3 linked regions of the Cricetulus griseus genome follow. The protein of the gene in region 1 purifies or fractionates together with the protein of each later gene. This does not show direct contact. Links are inferred from orthologs where the notes say so. Each region holds a gene or a part of one and is shown in the gene's direction. Other genes may lie near its edges.

Region 1 (7,483 bases):
AACCGTGTCTGGAAAACCCCCCAAAATGACCAAAAAAACCCAAAACAAAACTGTAATACATGGTGGCTCACGAATTTAATCCCAGCACTTGGGAGGCACAGGCAGGTGGATCTCTGTGAATTCACTACCAGCCTGGTCTACAAGAGCTAGTTCCAGGACAGCCTCCAAAGCCACAGAAAAACCCTGTCTTTAAAAAAAAAAAAAAAAATACAGCATTTTCAATGCTCATATGGACTTGGGGGGTGGGGGGCTCAAAAGTTTTCAAACTAGCCAAACACGGTCTACTACCCCCTCCCCAAAAAACCTTGTAAACTTGTATACACTGATACATGTATATGAAAGAGACCACATAATATGAAAGTTTTTACTTCTATACATTGTGATCACCTTTCCATATCCATAAATGGATGTCAGAGGTGTTTCTTTTAATGCAATGTCCTGTTTTCTCTCCTGACTGTTATTTCTAGGATTGATGAGAATGTGCTTGGAGCCCAGCTGGATGTTGAGGCCGCCCATTCAGAGATCCTCAAGTACTTCCAGTCAGTCACCTCCAATCGGTGGCTCATGGTCAAAATCTTCCTCATCCTCATTGTCTTCTTCATCATCTTTGTGGTCTTCCTTGCCTGAACCCTCCTTCAATCTGAGGCACTCCACAGAGGGTTTGGGACCCTTCTGGGAGGGCAAGTGGCCATGGCTGCCATTGAGCCTGTATAGGGTGGTTGGGAGAAAGGCCATTTCCTTGGAACTGCTAAGAATGGCCAGTGTCCCGATTCCCCACCCTTGTCTCTGGCCACTCTGTCCTACCCTCAGGCCCTTGAAACACTGGTTCTGGATTTGGACTCTGCTGTGAAAGTAGCTGGGAGCAGAAGCCTGCTTAGGGGCCAGTGGAGGAGGTTGTCTCCAGTAGGAGATTTTTATAAAACCTTACCAGCCTCCCCCAAAGGTAACTTTGGCAGCAAGGGGAGATAATGCCCCTCTTTGCCTCCTTGAGAGTGAGGCAAGGAAACAAAACTATCCCAGGGACCAACTTTACCATCGGGTTAGAACTTGACTGCCTTCCTCTCTTCACCATGTGAGGTGAGGAGGCTCTGAGCCCTTCAGTTGCCTGCACAAACCTGACTTTGGCTACTGGTGACTCAATCTGCCAAATGTGCTGCAAACCTGTTTCCTCCCAATTACAGCAAGACTGTCAGCCTCAGTAGTGATGTTGTCATTTCTGGGTGGGATCGTGCCCAATACCAGAACCAAAAGGGTTGAGTTGGTGGCTCTGAAGGGCCTCACTGATAAGCAGGGTAGCTTTGGAGCTGTGTACCTACAACTCCCTCCGAGAAAGGGAGCAAGTATAACAGCACTTCATTAGCAGAGTTTTCCTTTGAACTGGAGCCTAATGGATTCTTAACTGGGTGGCAGCTTCTAGGACATCTCAAGCTATGTTGGGGCCTGTTTTCCATCTGTATTCGCAAATCACGTGGCTTTGATTCTTGAATTCAGTGAAGCAAGACCTCTGTTGCTGGGAGCAGAAGAGAATTTGGACCCAGCTTTTGGCACCTTCTAAGACCCTCAGCAAATCCAAACCTGCCACTGAAAAAATGGAGGCAACCCACCTAACACAGACTCTGGAGGAAGGTTAATAAGCTATTTTGCCCTGATTAGTATTGACGTCATTGCTCCATGCCTATGGATGTCCCATCTGCTTACTCCCCCGCCCCCAGCAGGTTCAGGAATCTCAGGCCATAATAGGGTCAGCCCTAGTCACACTGAAGGTCATCTATAAGAGCTCTTGGCACACGCCTTTAATTCCAGCACTCTGCAGGAAAAAGCAGGTGGATCTCCTGAGCTTGAGGCCAATGTGGTCTGCAGAGCAAGTTCCAGGACAGCCAGGGCTACACAGAGAAACACTCCCAAAAATAAAATCCAATCACTACTATTGACTCCCTGTCCACCTAGCTGATCTGGGTCTACCTAATAGGGATGATGGTGTTTAGGACCTCGAGTGTAAAGACCAGTGCTCACTATGTCCCTGACAGGTGCATTTTATTTTTGTTTTGAGACAGTGTCTGTCTATGTAGCTTTGGCTGTCAGGGTGTTCCCTGTATGGACAATTGTGGCCTTGAACTTCCAAGTACTGGGACTAAAGAATTAAACCACCATGCCCAGTTTGATTTTTTGAAGCGAGATCTCTCTACATAGCCCTGGCTGTCCTGGAAAGTTCTATGTAGACCAAGCTGGCCTCAAACTCAGAGATCCACCTGTCTCTGCCACTCAAATGTTGGGATTAAAGGTGTGCGCCATCATGCGGGACTTGATGCTGGTTTTTTGGGGGGTGGGGAGGGGTTGTTTTTGTTTTCCTAACAATTTGTGGAGGGCCTAAAAGAGACAGGATTTCATTTAATTCACACAGGTTTCACACTTGGCTCGGTACTGAGCCAGGCGGGCTGGAGGAAGAGAAGCTGTGCATTAGTTAAGGTTCCTGCTCCGGTGGAGCTTACATTCCAATTTTCTATTTCGTCACAATCCATCGTAGAGGCGAGGAAAGCTGGGAGGGAATAGGCGTGCGGCTGTCAAGGAGCTGAGCTGCGACTTACAAGCTGCCGGGAATCTCACCGACGGAGACTGTGAGCCGTTACTCCCACTCAGAGGCTAGGTCTTCATTTTGTGTGGCTCTGGTCCCCGATTCTCAAGAATTCAGGGCTAAAGCAGCCCGCTCAACTCCAGAGCAAACCCCGACACAACTGGGACAGTGGAGAAGCAGGAAGGCAGAGACGGCCAACAAGCCATTGCGCCCCGAGCTACGGCCGTGGGCGGGCCTCGAAGGGCCTGGCCCCGCCCTCTGGAGGCAGCCCTGCTTCTGCGCAGGCGCAGAGAGCGCGTTCTCGCCCCGCGGCACCGCCCACATCCTGGGGACGTCGGCGGCGCGCGACGTGCTTCGCCGGATAAATGCGGTGGCGCCGGTCGTAGGAGCGCTTCAGTCCTGAGCGCCAAGACGTCTGGGCGTTTGGTGTCGTCAGGTTCTGCGCCTGAGCCCTCCCCTGTACCTGCCTGTGCCATGGCGGACGAAGGGAAGTCATACAACGGTTAGTTCGGGGCCTCGGGTCGGGAGGCGGCGCGGTGGGCCGGAGTGGGCGGCCCCGGCCTAGGCCGCAAGCCCGGGGGCGGGAGGCCGCGAGGAGTTCTGTGTCCGTGGGCAGCGGTGGCCGCGCGGGCAAGGATGGGGCGCCGCGGGACACAGGGGCTCCAGAGTCGCCCGGATTCTGGCGTTGGAGGACCTGTGGCTCAGGGTGGGGTGACAAGATTCCTTTGAACTTTGAGGGTGGTTGATGCCTGTCAATTGAGTTTGGCGGCCCGACTCGTCCTTTAAATGTGAGTCAGTAGTACCTTGTTCGTGGGCTGCTTTGGTGCCCTATTTTTTTTTTTCTTTTAACGCGATCAGTTGGTCTTTCAGCTTGCTCCTTAATGTTTACCAGTTTCCTAGTTCTAACAATTACCTTGATGGGTTAATTCATAGTGGTGTTTAGGACGGCATGACAGGTGATTGAATCTGGAGTTGGCTTTGCTAACCCCGACGGAGTTAAACTTTCAGGCCTTGTTTTCCGCCTCTTTCATGTGGGTATCTTGTCTTCCCAAGTTTGCGTGCGTGCGTGCGTGCGTGCGTGTGTGTGTGTGTGTGTGTGTGTGTGTGTGTGTGTGTGTATGAGATAATTTCTGTCAAGTGGCTGGAAGTGAAGATTTTTCAGTGAACCTTAATTGCACTGTGTTTTCACTAGAGTCACTTGGTGAGGGTCATTGTTTACAGGACGATAGATATGAGGTAGATTTCTTTGGAAGTCATGAACCTTTTTGTGTTTGTGTGGTGCTGATTTATCCAGGGTCTGAAAAATCCTCAGCCCAGTGAACCTTTATTTTAACTAAAATATAATTATATGGTGGGTGGCAGTGGTGCACACTTTTAATCCCAGCACTCGGGAGGCAGAGGCAGGCGGATCTGTGAGTTCCAGACCAGCCTGGTCTACAAGAGCTAGTTCCAGGACAGCCTCCAAAGCCACAGAGAAACCTTGCCTGGAAAAATAAAACAAAACAAAAAACAAACAAACAACATGTATGTATGTATGTATGTGTGTATGTATGTATGTATGTATGTATGTACGTGTTTTAACAGGATCTCCCTCCAGTTACTTTCATGTCTACCCACTCCCCAAATTCATACAACCTGAGTCCATTTAGTGTAGCTAGCATGTACTTATTTTTAAGGCTAACCATTTGGCCTTGGATAACCATTTAGGGAGTTCATCCCCGTTGAAGACTAATTCTCCCTTATAGGGCCAGTCTTAGTACCCCAGGCTGGCCTCATAGTCAGTCTTTCAGTGCAAGTCTCCCAAGTTTGGTATTGTAGGCACGTACCACGAGACTTATTATTTTGTGCTAGATGAACACTAGGCCTTGCATACACCAGGCAATCCCCTCCCATGGAGCTAAATTCTCATCCTTTTTGTTGTTGTTTTGAGATGGTCTCACTAAGTTGCCCAGTCTGACTTGAAGTTTCAAATTCTCCTGCCTCAACCTCAGTCTGTGTGTGTGTGTGTGAAGGATAAAGGTAAGCACTTTACCAGCTGAGCTGATCCTCAGTCTCCTTTTGTGTTAGTGCCTACATGTATATACATATAAACCTATACACAACGTCTGGCTTTGAACTCTACAAAGAGGAGGGTGACCTTGAGCCCCTCTGATCCTCTTGCCTTAAAAACAGTATACTGTGGCCAGGCGTTGGTGGTTCACGCCTTTAATCCCAGCACTCGGGATCTCTGTGAGTTCGAGACTTGCCTGGTCTACAAGAACTAGTTTCAGGACAGCCTCCAAAGCCACAGAGAAGCCCTGTCTTGAAAAACCAAAAAAGAAAAAATTTTAAAAAACATAAACACAGTATTTTACTGCACTTGGTTTCATTTATTTACTTTTTTTTCTTTTTCTTTCTTTTTTTTTTTTCAATATGTAGCTCTGACTGGAACTCACTGTATAGACCAAGATGAGGCTGGCCTTGAAAACTCACAGAGATCTGCCTGCCTATGTCCAGCTCATTTTCCTTTTTTTTGTTTTTTTTGTTTGTTTGTTTTTTGTTTTTTTTTCTTTCCCCTGAGACAGGGTTTCTCTGTGTAATAGCCCTGGCTGTCTGGAACTCACTTTGTACACCAGGCTGGCCTTGAACTCTCAGAGATCTGCTTCGGACACATGTGTATTAGAAAACACTCCAGGACCCTAATGTGGAACTGCCAGCTGATCCTGCATCTAGAAGTCCCTTGAGGTGCAGTCACTTCTGCTCACAGAAATGAGCATTGCCCAAATTCAGAAGGACAGTTTGAGAGCAAGGAGGTGGTGGTTGTTACTAGCTTATGTAGACCAGGCTGGTTTCTAACTCACAGAAAATCCACTTACCTCTGCCTCCCGAGTGATGGGATTAAAGGTGTGAGCCACTACCATCTGGCTATTATGTGGTTTTAAAATAGGTCATATTTGTAAGTTTTTTTTTTCATTTTTTGAGACAGGATCATGTAGTCCAGGATGGCTTTGAACTTGTGTAATTGAGGCCTCCACTTCCCATTTGCTGAGATTACAGTTGTTTCCCACATCTGGCTCTGTGGCCCTCATTTGTATGTATAGGCAAAAGATCAAAAATTTCAAGTGGTTTTCAGGGGTGCCATGTTTTACTTTTTATGTAGGAACTAGTTTCTGGTTCACTTGTTTTCTTTCAAAATTTTTTTCTTAAACATTTATTTAGGCCCAGCAGTGCTGGCACATGCCTTTAGTCCCAGCACTTTGGGAAGCAGAGGCAGGTGGATCTTTGTGAGTTAAGAGGCCAGCCTGGTCTACAGAGCAAGTTCCAGGACAACCTCCAAAGCAATACAGAGAAACCCTGTCTTGGAAAAAAAGAAAATTATTATGTATATAGTGTTCTGTCTGCATTCTAGAAGAGGGAATCAAATCCCTTTATAGATGGTTGTAAGCCACCATATGGTTGCTGGGAATTGAATTCAGTATCTCTGAAAGAACAGTCGGTACTCTTAACCTCTGAGCCATCTCTCTAGCCCTTCACTTTAATGATTTTTGACAATTTTATACATATACACAATGTGTTGTGATATTTTCACCTTTCATTACTTTTTCTTTTAAAGATTTAGTTTTCTGTCTGGTCCTTGCAGAGCCCAGAAGAAGGTATTGGGTCCCCTAGAACTACAAAGGCTACCTCCACATAGACACCTGTGCCCTGGCCAGGGGAAAGAACTTTTTATAGGTCATAAACATCAAAAAACAAGTTATTAGAAAGCTGTAGGGGGCTGAAGAGATGAGTTAAGAGCACTGACTACTCTTCCAGAGGACCAGCTTTGATTTCCCAGCATTCACATTGCAGAGCACAGTTGGGAGCTGCCATGTGGGTGCTAGGAACCAATTCTGGGACCTAATCATTGAGCCATCTCTCCAGCCTCTAACCCACAGATTTCTAAGATTTATATGAACTTGTGGAGAGAGACTCCCATCCCCCACACCCTTTAAACTTTATTTTGTTTTAAGACAGGATCTCATGTAGCTCAGGTTGATGTTAAATTAGTATGTAGTGGCAAATGATCTTGAACTCCAGATTCTCCTGCCTCTACCTCCCAGTTATTAGTATAATACGCATGGGCTACCATACCCAAATGAAAAATGCTCTTTTTGCTATTATTGTCTGCTTTGAGTCTATGCTGGGCATCAAACCCAGGTCCTTGAGTGTGTTAAACAAGCACTCTACCACTGAGCTACATTCTTTTTCCTTACTGACTTTTTTTTATATGTATATGAGTGTTTTGCCTGCTTGCTTATACATCTGTGTAACACAAGAGTGCCTGGGATGCCCATGACAGCCTCTGGAATGAAGTTGCAGAAAGTTGGGCACTGCAGTGTGGGTGCTGGGAATCAAATGTGGTCCTCTAGAAGAACTGCCAGTACTCTTAAGAATGAGGTGCCTAGCCTGGTAATCATCAGAAACTACTCCTCCAGCAGCTGGTAGCAGCAGATGTAGAGACCCACACACAAAGGTTAGGCAGAGCTAACCCCATGGAAGGAGGGGGGCAGAAAGGATTGCAGAAGCCAGAGGACCAGAATATGGCCCACAGAATCAACTAAGTAGGGCTCGCTCATAGGGGCTCAATCACGAAGCCTGCATGGGTCTGTGCTAGGTCCTCTACATACATGCTGTGGCTGTTTAGCTTGAGTTTTTTGTGGGACTCCTAACAGTGGGAGTTGGGGTATCTCTGACTCTCTTGCCTGCTCTTGGGACCATTTTCCTCCTGGGTTGCCTTGTCAAGCCTTAATCTGAGGGTTTGTGTCTAGTCTTAACTGCATCTTGTTATGCTGTGCTTGGCTGACATTACTGGGAGACCTGCTCCTTTCTGATGGGGAATGGAAGAACTCACTCTGTAGACCAGGCTGGCCTTGAAGAACTCACAGCGATCCA
Region 2 (7,224 bases), on another chromosome or scaffold:
TTTACCACAGTTCCCAACTCTCTGCTGAACTGTACTGATGCTGCTCCCTACCTCTCAAATTATCTAATCTCCTCCAACTTCATCTTATCACAGTCTGGGTTGTCTAATCTCTGACATGTATTTTTCAGACAGAGAACAGTAGAGCATCTGAGTGACTCATTTAGTTCTCATAATAATGGGCTTTTCAAAATACACTCATGTATTTATAATTATCCATATGGCAGTGGAGGTAGATGCACGCCATGATGCAAATGTGGAGGTCAGATGATAATTTGTAGGAGTTCATTCTCTCTTTCCACCATGTGCATACTGGGGACTGAACTGAGGTTCATCAGTTTTAATGCCAGGCTCCTTTTCCAATAAGCCATTTTGTCTAACCCAGCAATGTTTTGAAATATATGCTAATATTATTTCCATTTTACAGGTTGAAAGACAAAAGTTTTATAATGCCTAGGTAATTTCTTCAAAGTCAGAGACCTAGTCAGCAGCATGGTTAGAATCTGAATTCAGACTGATGGCAAAAATAGTGTGCTTAATCACAAAGTTATTTTGATACATAAAAAGCAGTTCCTAGTCACTCACTGTATTTTAAACAATTGCAGTTACCTAGTAAAGATGATGAACCTTATTTCCCACCTGTTCTTTTTCCCCCACAGGTTGTTTTATTGTCCTCCTCGCCCCAACACACATCCAATTTGTTTTTCAAATGTTTTCAGTTCAAAGGTCTAACAATCAGAGCCCAATATTTATTTCTATGTTATCATTTTACCCAGCCTTACACTTTTGTGGCACCTCAGCGTAGTCATTCTCCCATCATAGCACAAAATTATGTACAATAAAAATCAGTGTAAAACTCTGAGTTTCCATTCCTCCTCTAACTCAAATATCCTTTCCCAAGTGTCAGCACTTCTCTACTCCTTTAGCACTATTGTCCATCCCAATAGCGACTTCTATAATCCCAAGAGTGGCATCCTATATGTTTCTAGAAAAATGAAATGAGGGAAACTTCACAAAAATGATAAAACTTGCCCTGATACCTGAAGGACAGATAGAAATGGAGTAAACAAATCAAAAAGAAAAAGAAGTAAACAAATCAAAAAGAAAGAAGACATAGTAATATACAAGTAAATGAATAAATAGCACAACGTGTTGATTAGACAATTTGGGACTGAAATTCTGGGTTCAATAGCTGTGTCATCTCGTCTTAAAATTTCTGTGCATGTGAGTGTGCCTGAATGTATGAAGACGTACCACACACAGGTGCCAAAAAAGTCAGAAGAAGATGTCTGATCTCCTGGAACTAGAATTACAGACAGTTGCAAGCTGACTAACATGGGTGCTAGGAACTGAACCCAGTATTCTGAACAAGTATTCTTAATCACTGAGCTACTTCTCCAGTCCAGAGCTGCATCATATTAGCAAAGGTTATTTTTTTGTTTGTTTTGCTCTTTGAGTTTCATCTCAAATTCTTAAAAATATGGGTCATATTAATATCTATGTCTGATTTGTAAGGATTGAATGAAATCATATAAAAATACCTTTCCTCATTCAAGAAAAGCCAATAGCGATATAACAATGAACAGGAGTCATTTTGTGGAAAAATGTGGCTTACTAGTCTTTTTTAAATTTGAGAGAATACTCTAGGAAAAATAAAATCACATCAAAGTAGGCTTTAAATATTAGGGTAATTGTGGGGGTGAGGATACACTGACTAACCTTAGAAGAGGTAAAAGTGAGGGGAAGAGAAAGGAGGAGAGAAGGAAAAAGGCAGAGGGGTTAGAAAGGCAGAGACACAGAAAGATAAGGTAGAAAATGTTTTAGAGATTGGCCGAAACTAGCTACTCAGAATTCATTACTTGGAATTCCTTTAAAATGTATCAGTAGTTACTTGTTTGCCGCTCTTGACACTGCTTGGTAGCAAGAGCTTTGCACAATGCCTGGAGCACAGTAAATGATGATAAATATTTGTTGAAGGAATGAACAATAAGAAGAGAACCAAAACTCAATCAATAAATAATGCAGATTCATGCATCACTAAGAAAATATAGATTAGAAATAAACTGAAAAAAAAATCAGTTTAAATTTTGGACTTGAGAGTCTGAGAAACATGGCAGAACATTCCCATTTTCACTATTAGAAAGATTCCACATGTACAATTTGAGCTCCATAGAGGTAGAACCAAAGTTACAAAACTGTAGTTCATTACCATATAAAGAGCCATAGAGAGTCACGTGGTAGTAGCTGCCCCGGAAGTAATGAGTCAAGGCAGTCAGCATCATAGTGGGCAAACCGGAAGGAACTGAAGCTGAGTGGCGCGCAGTTGGAGAAGAAAGCGGTTCCTGTGGGTACCTTTGTGAACGCTCGCTGAGAATGAAAAAATATAGTGACTGGTCCCGTGGGGACAAACACTATGGAAGGTCTGGCTATTCCTCTCGCGAGCCACACACAAGCTACAGATAGTAAGTTCAAAGAAATATTTGATTCAAATTTTAGATGTCTGACGTGGCCACTTTGGGATTAACTGTTTTAAGAAAGGGCGCCGGGCTACTGAAACCAGTTTGCCATGGCATTTATCATTACTTGAGCTTAAATCTTATCTAGACACGGTTTAATCACTGATTGTTTTAATAATGTGATGATAAAATAGTATTTAACTCATAGTTGCCATAAATAATTGAAAATGGATAAAATTACTTAGAAAAGTGCTTATGGTCACTACTAACGGTCCCTGGTCAGGTTGTTCTGAATAAGCTGTAGAAACCATACACCACAGAATATTGGGTTTTGGTTTGGGTGGGGTTTGTTTTTTGGGGGGCGGGGTGGTGCTTGACATTTAATCCCTTCGGTGTGAAGGGAATTAGTAAAATGATTGTTAAGCACAGGAAAATTTTTAGTTATCCAAACAAGGCGTTAGTAGCAGAGGGTCAAAATGGAGAATATTCCCGAACTTTACATTTTAAATTCTTTTAAACCCCTCGTGCAGCAAGCGGTTTTTCTGAGCGGGTTCTCAAGTCCTGCCCCCTTTTCCTATTGGCTACTGACCTAGGTTTTTCCGTTTCTCATTGGCCCTCAAGCTTTGGGCCCGCCTCATGGGATAAAGCTGTCCTGTAATTGCAACTTTTGATTTTAACTTGTACCAGGGCGGGGAGCTGGGCTGGGGTTGTTTTATTTGTGTTGTGCTGTTTTGTTAGTTTATTTTTGGTTGGTTTTTTGTTTGTTTCTCTCTTTTATGCAAAGTAAACAGTTTGGAAGTAATTTAAACAGATGGATGGAACCAGTTGCAACTGAAAGGATTGGCCACTTAAAATTGGAACTTTGAGGGGGTTTTAACACTAGGATATAATGGGCGGGTTTAAAAATCTGTGTCTTTGGCGGGTCTCGTTTTCTTTGTAAACATTTCCTCCTTCTGCAGCCAAAAGAGCCAGACACGTGAGGAGGTACTGACACCTGCCCTGAAGGAGCATGCCATTTCAAGTTCTCCAATGGCCATGGCTGTGGTGAGTGTGTGACACCATTGAGTGTTGAGGAACTAGGACATGTGCAGCAAAAGGGATGGGAGGCAGGAGCTTGGACATGTGAGCAACTGGCGAATCAGCATCTGGCCCGCCAGCCCCTGGGGCGGGACTTGCTCCCCTCCTCTTCCTAGAAAAGATGCAGGAAGGAGGATGGAGGCTAAGTCATCTTTGGCTTACAGTATCAACCTTTCTGTTGGCGCTTTAAAAATCAGAATCTCCTGATCACTCACAAATGGCAATTATTTTTAATTCAAGGAATAGGACTTTCTCAGTAAAAGTGAAGGGCAAACAAAGTTATTTAATTGGGGATCTTGTGAGAACTCTGAGGCCTTTCATTTCTTGGTTTTTGCAATTCATTTACAAATGCCCATGAATGTTTATATAATGTAAGAAAAATTTCTAAGTGGGACTGCTTAGACTTTCAAGTCATACTTAAAAAAAAGAAAATAACTTCCAAGCTTGGTCATAAGTTGAAACTTAGCACTTACTCAGTGACTGTCCACCAACACCTTGTCTCCACCCACACCCATCACCCACTCTCGAGTTACTATTCCTGTGGTAGGTGAATGTTTTGTAAAATACTGAATTTTTTTTTACTTAATTGCCAAGCAAAGATTCCAGAGTTATATGTGAAGAGTGAAAAAAGGGGAGATAAATATGTTCTAAAGACGTGGATCTAAAAACTAGCTACAGTTTGCTTTTAAAGCTGAAAACATTTATGCCTTGATCTTTAAAATACTCAAATTTATATGATAGCTGATTTTGCATATAGCTTTATAGTGCCTATTTTGAGCTTGCAGGATTATGATTTACCATTGTGAAAATTTGCTCATAGGATTTTAAAACTCATGTGGATCAGGCATGTAGAGCTGCTGAGGAATTTGTCAATATTTACTATGAGACAATGGACAAAAGAAGACATGTAAGTTTTATAGTCTCCCTTGTTCTTTGTTTAATACCATTCATTTGTTTAAATACCATTTATCTGACCTACATAAGTAATTGCTGTATACACATTCTTTAAGACCTGTTTATACTGGTTTACAGTTTGTTTATACTTGTTTATAGTTTGGTATTTTGTTTTCATTTTTCTTTTGGGGTATTTTGGTTTTTTGGTATTGGGGTTTTTTGTTGTATTATTTTTTTTGCTTGGTTGATTTTTTTTGAGAAAACTGCTACTTGAGAAGCTAGGGAAAGAATCTGGGAGAAAGGAAGAATATGATCAAAAATATATTTAAATTTAAAAATTATTTTAAATAATAAAAATATAACATAGGATATCTGATCACATTGTGAACCCCAAGATTGCATTATTTATTGGAAAAACCTGTTTCTAGCTGTGGTGTGGCTCAGGCTTAGCATATACCTTTAACCCAATTGTTTTCTGCTTGCATATTGTAAACAGGATTAAATAAGGTCAACCATAGGTCAAGAGGCAGAGCAACCAACCAGTTGACAGGAAGTAAACATAGGATTATCAAGAAAAAAACATGTAGAGTAAGAGGGAGTCAGGAAGATGGATAGAGAGACACACAGGAAATAGAAGGGAGGGACATTCCTTTTGAGGCATGTTGTTTGAGAAGGCATAGGAGTTAGGGGAGGCTTCTGGGGTATTGGCTGAGGAGGAAGGTCAGCTGGGTGTATTCTCTGCCTCTCTGAGCTATCAGGCTTTCACCCCAGAATCTGGCTCCTGAGTATTAATAAAAATCAAATGATTAAGATTTTGTTAACATTTGGCACCCAATTTGGGGCACAGCCTCATGGACAGAGTAATCATGCCAGCTGAGGACAAACTGAGAAGCCATCGGATTTGGTAATATACCTGGAAAGTCCTCAAGGAGAGAATTTACATAATATTAAAATTGGGAAACATTATAGTACAGAGCTTTAGGACCATGTATATTGCTTCTTTAGATACTTTGAAAATAGAAGCAGAAAATGAAAAGATAAATGATTTAACTGAGATTGGCATAGTGCCGATTATAATTACTATCAGTCTGGAACTTTGCATTTTATCCTCAATAGCCATAGTATTTTTTGTGCCAACTATGAAAAATGGATTCATACGATACAAGCCTTAGAAAGATGTAAATAAAAATAAAAAAATATGCAGACACAGAGAAATTTAGACAAGAACCTACCACACCATTCCATGTTGAAACTGAAGAGGTGTGGATAAGGTTGTTAGAAAACTAACCTTAGCCTACCCAGTTACTATAACAAGAATTAACCAGCAGACAATAGGCTTTCCCAAGTTTTTGAAGAATTTAAATGGAATCTGATAGAAATACTGGATTTGAGGAGATTTAAGGAAGTAGTCATTTCAGATGGCATACATATGTATATTTTAAAGATATGTTGATCTTAGAAAGGAAACCTAGTGTCACACTAGGGAAGAGGTTTTATCTCTGTTTCCTTGGGAGGAGAAAAGCTGTGAATACCATGAATATTGATAAAGATTAGATTCAAACGGGAGAGCCTTCCTGAATAAGGAGAGGTGATAGTTCATCACACAGCTTGGTCATTCAGCCCAAACTAACAAATGCCTTTCATTTGATTAGGCATGAAAAACTAAAAATATGAATAATATTTTCAAAATGGTAATTTACCAAAGGCACGTTTGCCTTACTGGCATGAAATGAAAAATGGGTTTTTTTGAAACATGTGTCTTTATTCCATGTTAGATCATTAAAGTGTAGATTGCTATACAACGCATGCCATCTTGGACATCAGCTTTTGAGTGTTCTTAAATAAAACAGATACTTTTTTTTGTTTCGATATTAAAAACACAGTTAAGCTGGTGGCGCATGCCTTTAATCCCAGCACTTGGGAGGCAGAGGCAGGTGGATCTCTGTGAGTTCGAGGCCAGCCTGGTCTACAGAGAGAGTTCAAGGACAACCTCCAAAGCTACAGAGAAACCCTGTCTGAAAAATTCCCCCGAAAAAAAGTTAAGTGATTAAAATTTTTTAAGTAAAATATTTTTAAGTAAATTCAAACTTGTTTTCTAAATCTCTAAGAGTTGAAGTTAGTTATTTGGACTTAAGATAAAATATTTGAGCAGAACCCTGCCTGGGCAGCACAGTAGAGCTGACTGTTGTTGGGGCCACAGGTGAGCGAGCCCTGATGGTGTGGTAGCAGGAGAACTAACCCCCCTCCCCTATATGCCCCATAAAGCAATCAGGAGACAGGGTGCTCCCTCCCCCCAACCTTGCTTAGGCAAAACAATTGAGCTAACCCTGAGAATGTAATATAGGGGACCTGGATCTCAGGGCCTAAAAGTGGGAGAAATGGCACCCCTCCTTGCTGTGGGCTGCATCAGAGGCAGACACATAAGAGTTACACTGGCTTAAATTTAAAAACCACTTACAAAAGGCAAGCTGAAATTCAAAGAGAATATCCTTTGTGATCTAAAAATAAATACATTTAAACGTTGAATTTATGTATGAAGAGAACCGGGAAATGGGTGTATTTATCCACACATACTATGACATATTTAGTTTCAGAATTTCAAAATAATTTTTTTCAGTTTTTTTATTTGAATTAGAAACAAGATTGTTTTACAAGCCAATCCCAGTTCCCTTCTCCCTCCCATCCTCCCCTACCACCCCCGCCAACTAAAACCCTACCTATCACATATCCTTTCTTCTATTCTGTCCCTGACTCAACCTTTCTGCTCCCTCATGACCTCTGCATCCTTCCTCTTCTCCCC
Region 3 (7,213 bases), on another chromosome or scaffold:
AGTGCTGGGATTAAAGGTGTAAACCACCTCCCAGCTAGATTATTTATGTTTTTTTAAAAAAAGAAAGATAGCTGTACAAAAGATTTAAATTGCTTGTCTTTTCTTATTTTAGGATGTTCTTCTGCCCTAATGGTGGCAATGATTTTAAAAATGAAACTAAAACAGTGAAGGAAGTAAGATTTCAAAAGGAACTTCCCCTTGCCTCCTGTTTATGCCTTAGGCACTAGGTGCAATCTCCACTACTGTAAGGGGGATAAAAAGAACTTTTTTCTCAGCATACTGGAAGTTGGAATAAATAAACACCATCACCAAAACTGACTGTTTAATTCTTTTCTGGAAATGTTAAATTTAGTATATGAAGATAATTTTGAAAATTGATGCAAATTTTTTTTGAATATTCCAACCCTCCTTTCAATTCAAAGACAGGGTCTTTCTATGCAGATCAGACCGGCCTATACTTTACTATGGAACCCAGGTTGGCTTCTGATTTTCCTGTCTTGGCCTCCTTAATGCTGAGATCAAAGATATGTATCACAATATTCAACTTTAAAGTAACACTGTCAAACAGGGCGGTGGTGGCTCACACCTTTAATCCCAGCACTAGGGAGGCAGAGGCAGGCGGATGTGAGTTCGAGACCAGCCTGGTCTACAAGAGCTAGTTCCAGGCTAGGCTCCAAAGCCACAGAGAAACCCTGTTTCAAAACCAAAAAAAAAAAAAAAAAAAAGTAACATTGTCAAGATTTAACAACCACGATATATAAGAATTACTCCATAGCGTATATTAGCAAATGTTATAATATTTGTTGACTTAAGTAGATTTATTTAAATTGAAGCTGGAGGCCAGGGTGTTGGCCACACACCTTTAATCCCAGCACTCAGAAGTCAAAGGCAGGTGGATCTCTGAGTTCCAGGACAGACAGGGCTACTCAGAGACCCCCACCCCCCACCTACCCTCCCATCCCAATACCCCACTCGAAAAACAAACAAACCAAAAAAGTGAAATTTATAAGGTTTATAGAATCACTGTTCCTTTGGAAAGTATAAAAGTCTTTATAATTGTTTAAGGCTTTTCAGGAGAAGCGGATGAAACAAAAGCCAGGGGCTGGGGATGCTCAGGAGACCCTATGGCAGGCAAGCAAGTGAGCACACCAGTAAGACTGAGACAGAACACATATATCATATACTGTATACAGGTTCTATTTTCTCACCATTTTGTTGAGACACCTTGATTTGGAATATTTGAAAACCAACATATCTATACATTGGTAGCACTTAAGAGAGTCTCATGCTTTTTGACCAGGTAGGTCTCATTTCTCTGTACTCTACACCTGCATCTATACACACCAAATGGAGACCAAAAAGATAAAAATAATTTTATGTGTAAAATTTCCAACTCTTGAGTGTTCCAAGTATTTATGATGTAATGTCTGTATTTTTTTGGTGGTTGATACAAAGAACTGAACTCTAGTTTCAGAGCCGGCTCTATTTTCTGGCCAACACATTATGTAAAATCGAAGGCAGATTTAAGCAATCTGGAGATGAGAGTTTCACTTATTTGACATATATCGAGTGGCTGAGCTGTAACGCTTTAAGTGAAAACTAGACAACCTTAAAAGCTCCAAAGCACTAGAAGGAAAAAAACAAAAACAAAAACAAAAACAAACTTTGTGCTTCAGGTGCAAGGAATCTAAGAATTGTCGCGGCTCAGTATGCTTGCAAACTTTTAGTTTTGCCGAAATTTCAACATTGCCAGAACCCCCATCTGTATCCCTTTGTTCAGCAGACTCCCAAGGACTCAGAGCAGACTCGGTGAGTCCCTGGGAGAAGTGCCCCGCTGAGGCACTTCTGAGTGCCTGGGATGCGGTGATCAGGAGCAGAATGGCGGGGCGTTTTCACACTGGTCACTCTAATTACCTCTGATGAGCCTCAAAGATCCCCGGGTGGAAGACTAGGCCAGGTACCCCAAAGCGAAAGGTGGCGACAGCGACATCAGCGGTTAGATTTTACAGGCTTTCACAGAACGGTCTAACGCTCCTGCACTACAGTTACGGTTACTAGACTGTCAGTTCCTAGGTTAAGATGAAGAGGTGGAAGGGTTGGGAGAAGGTAAAGGAGGATCGGTAGGGTTCAGGAAAGGGGAAGGGGAGGGGAGGGAGCAGGAGGCCGCCCGGGAGGCCACAGGTTTATGGGCAAGGTCTCCGCGTTCCCATGGCAACGTATCCCTCCGCCCGCGATTCGATCAGCCTCTTAGGTCCCTCCGCCCCGCCTCTAGGCTGTTTCCGCCCAGCTCCTTTGTGCCGCGCAGAACGTTGACACGACGCATGCGCAAGGGGAAAAAAAAAATCCCCGCCCGCCGCATATATAAGCGCGACTCCGGCCTCTTCCTCCAAGTGCCGCCGGGAGTGTCGACGAGCGAGGACGCGCAGCCGCTTCCGCGCTACTCGAGCTGCGAGCACTGCGAGCTATAGCCGAGTACGCGGGCCTGCCATCATGTCACGTTACGGGCGGTATGGAGGAGGTGAGCGGCCGGGGCCCGGGGGAGGCTGGTGCTGGTGGCGGCCCGAGCAGAGGGAGGCCGTAGGGTCGGCGCGGCGGTTGGAGACGGTTATTCCGCGTGCGTAATGGCGGCCCCGGCGCACGCCGTCCGGAGCTGGAGCCGGAGGCCGCGGGGGCGGGGTGTGGGAGGGAGAGCGAGCGGGGCCGGAGGGCGTGTGTGCGCTGCGGTCCCCGGGCCTGGCTGGAGCGCCGGGGGCCGGGTCCGCCGCGGCGTCGCCGGTACCCGCACTGCCGCCCGCCTCCTCCCCCACCCCGCCCTCGGCGGCCGCGGCTGCCATTTTGAGCACATTGACGACCGCGGTGGCGCATTTTCCTCAGCGCTTTCCCGCCACTGGAACGGGCAAGTCTGGGCGCTGAGGTCCGGGGTCGGATTGGAGACCGTACGAAACGGGCGGCTGCGAGCTGCGCCTCGCCTCGCCTCGCCTCGCCTCGCCTCGCCTCGCCTCGCCCCCGGCCACGGGTTGAATTGAGGAAGGAGCGTTGCGACCGGCGACGGCCTCCTTTCTCCTTTTTCTTTATTTTTTTAAGCCGTTTCTAGCGTGGCTGCTCTGGCTCTGAGTCAGGGATTTGGGTGAGCAGGAACCGGTGCACCTCTGCTTCCCCGTGGACTCTCGCCGGGCCGGGCCACGGGAGCCCGCGCGCTCTAGCTCGGGACCGGGTGGGGGCGGGGCGGGACCGGACCGGGCTCGCCCACCCCACGCCTTTTTAATCTATCACGCTCCTTTGCAGAGTTTTTCCAAGGTTTCCATCCTATCAGAACGCCAGAACTTGGTCACGAGTCGGGCTTTCATTATTTTCACGGGGTTAAGGCTACCATTTAATCACTGGTGGAGACCGCCAAATAAAAGGAGCCAGGCATGGTGGCGCACGCCTTTTAGTCCCATCTGCCTCAGGGAGGCTCGAAGGCAGGAGACTCACCTGAGCGTTGTGTAGATAAAATATTTGGAGTGTGGCTCCGTACTAGATCACTTACTGGCTCAGTCTCCTTGAGTACCCCAAAACAAAAACATGCACTTTGTGCAGCTTTAAGGGTGGTCTGTTGTAAATGAATCCAAACTTAAGATACACTTGGGAATAACATTTCTTCTGTTTGCATTTTGAAACAGAAACCAAGGTGTATGTCGGTAACCTGGGCACCGGTGCTGGTAAAGGAGAATTAGAAAGGGCATTCAGTTACTATGGGCCCTTAAGGACTGTATGGATCGCCAGAAACCCTCCAGGGTTTGCCTTTGTGGAATTTGAAGATCCTAGAGATGCAGAAGATGCAGTTCGTGGATTGGATGGGAAGTGAGTGCGTTTAAAATATTCCTGTGGACTAGATCGAAGTCTTGTTAATCATAGATTGCTCTGATCGGGTTGCGGGGGTGGGGGGGGTGCTGACCCTGAGCTCACCATAAAGCTCAGTTAGTGTATGGAGCGATCCTGAATCAGCCTCTCTGGTGCTGGTGTTACAGGCACCTGATAATTTTAAGATAGCTTTGTAAACAGACCTTGTAGGGGGAATGAGTAGTTTGTTGGTAGATTTCTTTTAGAAATCGTGTGGATATTTTAATTTTAGTGTTTTCTTGTTGCAGGGTGATTTGTGGTTCTCGAGTGAGAGTTGAATTATCGACGGGCATGCCTCGGAGATCTCGTTTTGATAGGCCACCTGCCCGACGTCCCTTTGATCCTAATGATAGATGCTATGAGTGTGGTGAAAAGGGACATTATGCTTATGACTGTCATCGCTATAGCCGTCGAAGAAGAAGCAGGTATTTAGTTAAAAAAGGAATGGTTGGTATTCTAGTTAATCAAAGTAATTCTTTTATTAGCAAGGCAGAAAACTAGTGTTTTTCTATAAACTTGAATGTTAATTGTACAGGTGTATTTTACAATTTTTGTTTAATTAAAAATGTTAATATATTAATAATCAACCTGGTCAAAACCTTTCAGGTTTCTTCGTTTGAGTCAGTCGCCTTGATTCAGAATGTCACGAGCCTTATGATATCATGCTGAGGCGCCTTGCAAATCCGACAATTAAGATCCTCCTAGACCTTGAGGTGATCAGCATAAGAGGCCAGATCCCCTCGAGTCATCTACACCTAGCTTCACCTTATTCTTTAAAGGGCAGAAAATTTGAGTCGGTGATCGCCGTAACAGTAAATTTGGCTTACAATTGGGGCCCCCTCCGCTTTAGAAAGAGGAACACCAGATTGACCACATTCCCACCTAGAAAAATCTTCTTGCGTCAATCAAGCCTCACCTGGCTCTTTTGGCTGTCAGTTTGATCGTCGTTAGATTGAAGAAAACATCTAGATGCAGCGATCGGCTATAGATACTTCTAGATCGTCTAGATCTACTAGACCTACTACTAGACCATGGGCCAAAGAGGGTCGACCTGCAAACTTGCAAGGTTTATTTTAAATACACATTATGGTGTTTTATATTTTGTAATTCTAAGTTGTAATTCAGCTTTTAACAAATCTTTTTTTAGGTAGTAAAAAAAAAAAAAAGCTTATAGGCCCAGAGTTTTTCCAAATGAGATACTAAATTTTAAATAGTTTTTGAGATTTGATTTCAGCAGAGGTACACAAACACTAAAACTGAGTTATCGTCTAATATTTTGTATTTTTCTAACTTGAAAAATAGGTCACGATCTAGATCACATTCCCGATCCAGGGGAAGGCGATACTCTCGCTCACGAAGCAGGAGCCGGGGAAGAAGGTGAGAAATACTTTAAAATTCGAGGGTTTTTTTGTTTGTAGATTTTTTTTTTTTTCTTTTGGTTTGTCAAGACAGGGTTTCTCTGTGTAGCTTTGGAGCCTATCCTGGCACTCAGTCTGGAGACTAGGCTGGCCTCGAACTCACAGAGATCTGCCTGCCTCTCTGCCTCCCCAGTGCTGTGATTAAAGGCGTGTGTCAGTAACGCCTGGCTTGTTTGTAGATTTTTTGAGATGGGGCTGGCCTTATGAGATCCTCCTGCCTCTGCCTCCTGAGTGCTGTGGGGGAAAAAATAACGTATAACATATGTCACCACCACCTAGCTAAAATTCAAGTTTTAACAACTGGGAAAAGAAGATGGACTTAGAATGTCTTAATTTTTAGGTCAAGATCAGCATCCCCTCGAAGATCAAGGTCTGTGTCTCTTCGTAGATCAAGATCAGCTTCACTAAGAAGATCTAGGTCTGGTTCTATAAAAGGATCGAGGTATTTCCAGTATGTAACACATTTTTCCTGCTTACTTGTAAATGAATTGTCACGTCTTAATGACACAGTGAAGTACTTTAATTGAATGAGATACTTCAGAATATTTGAGATGTGAAGATTAAGTGTGGTGAGATATTCCTGTAGTCCTAGCATTTAGACTGAGACACTACTGTTACTTGGGCCAGTATTTGAGGACAGATGGGAAGCATATGAGGTTCACACCCCACCTCAGAACAGAGTTAAAAAACTAAATTATTCCAGTGAATAACCTGGGTAGGCATGATGCTAGCTGGCTGAAGAAATGTTTGGCTACAAAGCTTGCCATCAAGCCTGGAACCCATGTGGAGGGAAGAGAATCAATTCCCACAAGTTGCTCTCTTGAGTTCTGGAAGGTTATGGCATTCACCTACTCAAACATACTTTCAGTAAAGAAAATGTAAGATTTTTTGTGTAAGTATTTTTGTGGTTACATAATTTGAGACTCCTTTTGAGTGCTGGGATTAAATGTAATTAAACCTTACATTTGGATATATTTCATAAAAAATTTGTACTAGAAGAAGCAGTTATATATAAAAGCCACTGGCCTTTATTGCTGTTTAACAAAACTGTTAACAGTTTGAGAAAATTATTGTACCATTTCTGTATCAACACATAAAATCTCAAGGTTTTCAAAAGATATATATAGTCAACGTAACTTGGTTTGACAAATAAAGGACCCTTCAACTGAGATAAAATAAAAGTCAAGTCATAGCTGTTTTCTCAGATGGAACCACCTAGTATTAATCTTGGTTATTAGTGTTTGAAAATGGGACAGTTGTACCTGCACGGTAGTGACCAATACCAATTGGGCATGACAGAGCAGATATTTGAAAGAGTGCTTGGTTCTTTTTTGTATTTGAAATCTGATCATTTGCACTGCATTGGATTGTTTTAAGTCAAGAGTCATGCAGCAGTTGTCTTAGCTCCTCTGTCCTATACTTGAGTCCTGGAAAGGTACTCAAGATATAAAGGAATTCTTGTGTAATTGTGTCCCTTTTCATTTTTAAGATCGCGTTCCAGGTCGAGATCGAGATCCAGGTCTATTTCACGGCCAAGAAGCAGGTAGGGTTAAAAAAAAATCTGATTTAGTGCTCCTGATTATATAGCACCAATATCCAAAGAGTTCAAAGTGTTGTAAATTACTGAAACTTGGGTGTTAGCCCAAAGCTTGACTGTTACTTAGAAATAACGCAAATGAAAACTTCATTTATACATGGCCTACTACTCGGAGCTGTATTCAAATTAATATTACATGACTTAATATTACTTTGGAGGTCAAGAGGCCTTAAAAATTACAGGTGCATAGGGAAACCATTCTGAGAAATGTACATTATAACAGAATGTAAAAAATGAACTCATGAAAACTGGGTCATTTTAAGATGTCCTTTCTAAAGGAAATGTGATAGGCACTGAAATTTTAGTTGCAATGAGA

The links. The genes of interacting proteins can lie anywhere in the genome.
Region 2: the proteins of Nxf1 (region 1) and NTF2-related export protein 2 purify together in Homo sapiens (co-immunoprecipitation; 5 studies listed by BioGRID and IntAct, counting the BioPlex papers as one, with this or other methods). This does not show direct contact. The link is inferred for Cricetulus griseus from reciprocal best matches to the Homo sapiens genes NXF1 and NXT2.
Region 3: the proteins of Nxf1 (region 1) and Srsf7 purify together in Homo sapiens (affinity purification with western blotting; 3 studies listed by BioGRID and IntAct, with this or other methods). This does not show direct contact. The link is inferred for Cricetulus griseus from reciprocal best matches to the Homo sapiens genes NXF1 and SRSF7.

What each region holds. Positions count from the first base shown.
Region 1 is NC_048596.1:51,334,492-51,341,974, reverse strand, and holds the start of Nxf1 (nuclear RNA export factor 1), read left to right. Parts: upstream 1-2,891; 5' UTR 2,892-3,046; coding exon 3,047-3,074; intron 3,075-7,483. Other genes in the region: Stx5 (syntaxin-5), read left to right, coding at 468-627.
Region 2 is NC_048604.1:38,303,604-38,310,827, reverse strand, and holds the start of NTF2-related export protein 2, read left to right. Parts: upstream 1-2,370; coding exon 2,371-2,459; intron 2,460-3,412; coding exon 3,413-3,497; intron 3,498-4,350; coding exon 4,351-4,437; intron 4,438-7,224. UniProt on the Homo sapiens protein: Regulator of protein export for NES-containing proteins. Also plays a role in mRNA nuclear export.
Region 3 is NC_048600.1:3,872,752-3,879,964, forward strand, and holds the start of Srsf7 (serine/arginine-rich splicing factor 7), read left to right. Parts: upstream 1-2,359; 5' UTR 2,360-2,490; coding exon 2,491-2,518; intron 2,519-3,662; coding exon 3,663-3,843; intron 3,844-4,130; coding exon 4,131-4,307; intron 4,308-5,184; coding exon 5,185-5,259; intron 5,260-5,640; coding exon 5,641-5,751; intron 5,752-6,789; coding exon 6,790-6,843; intron 6,844-7,213.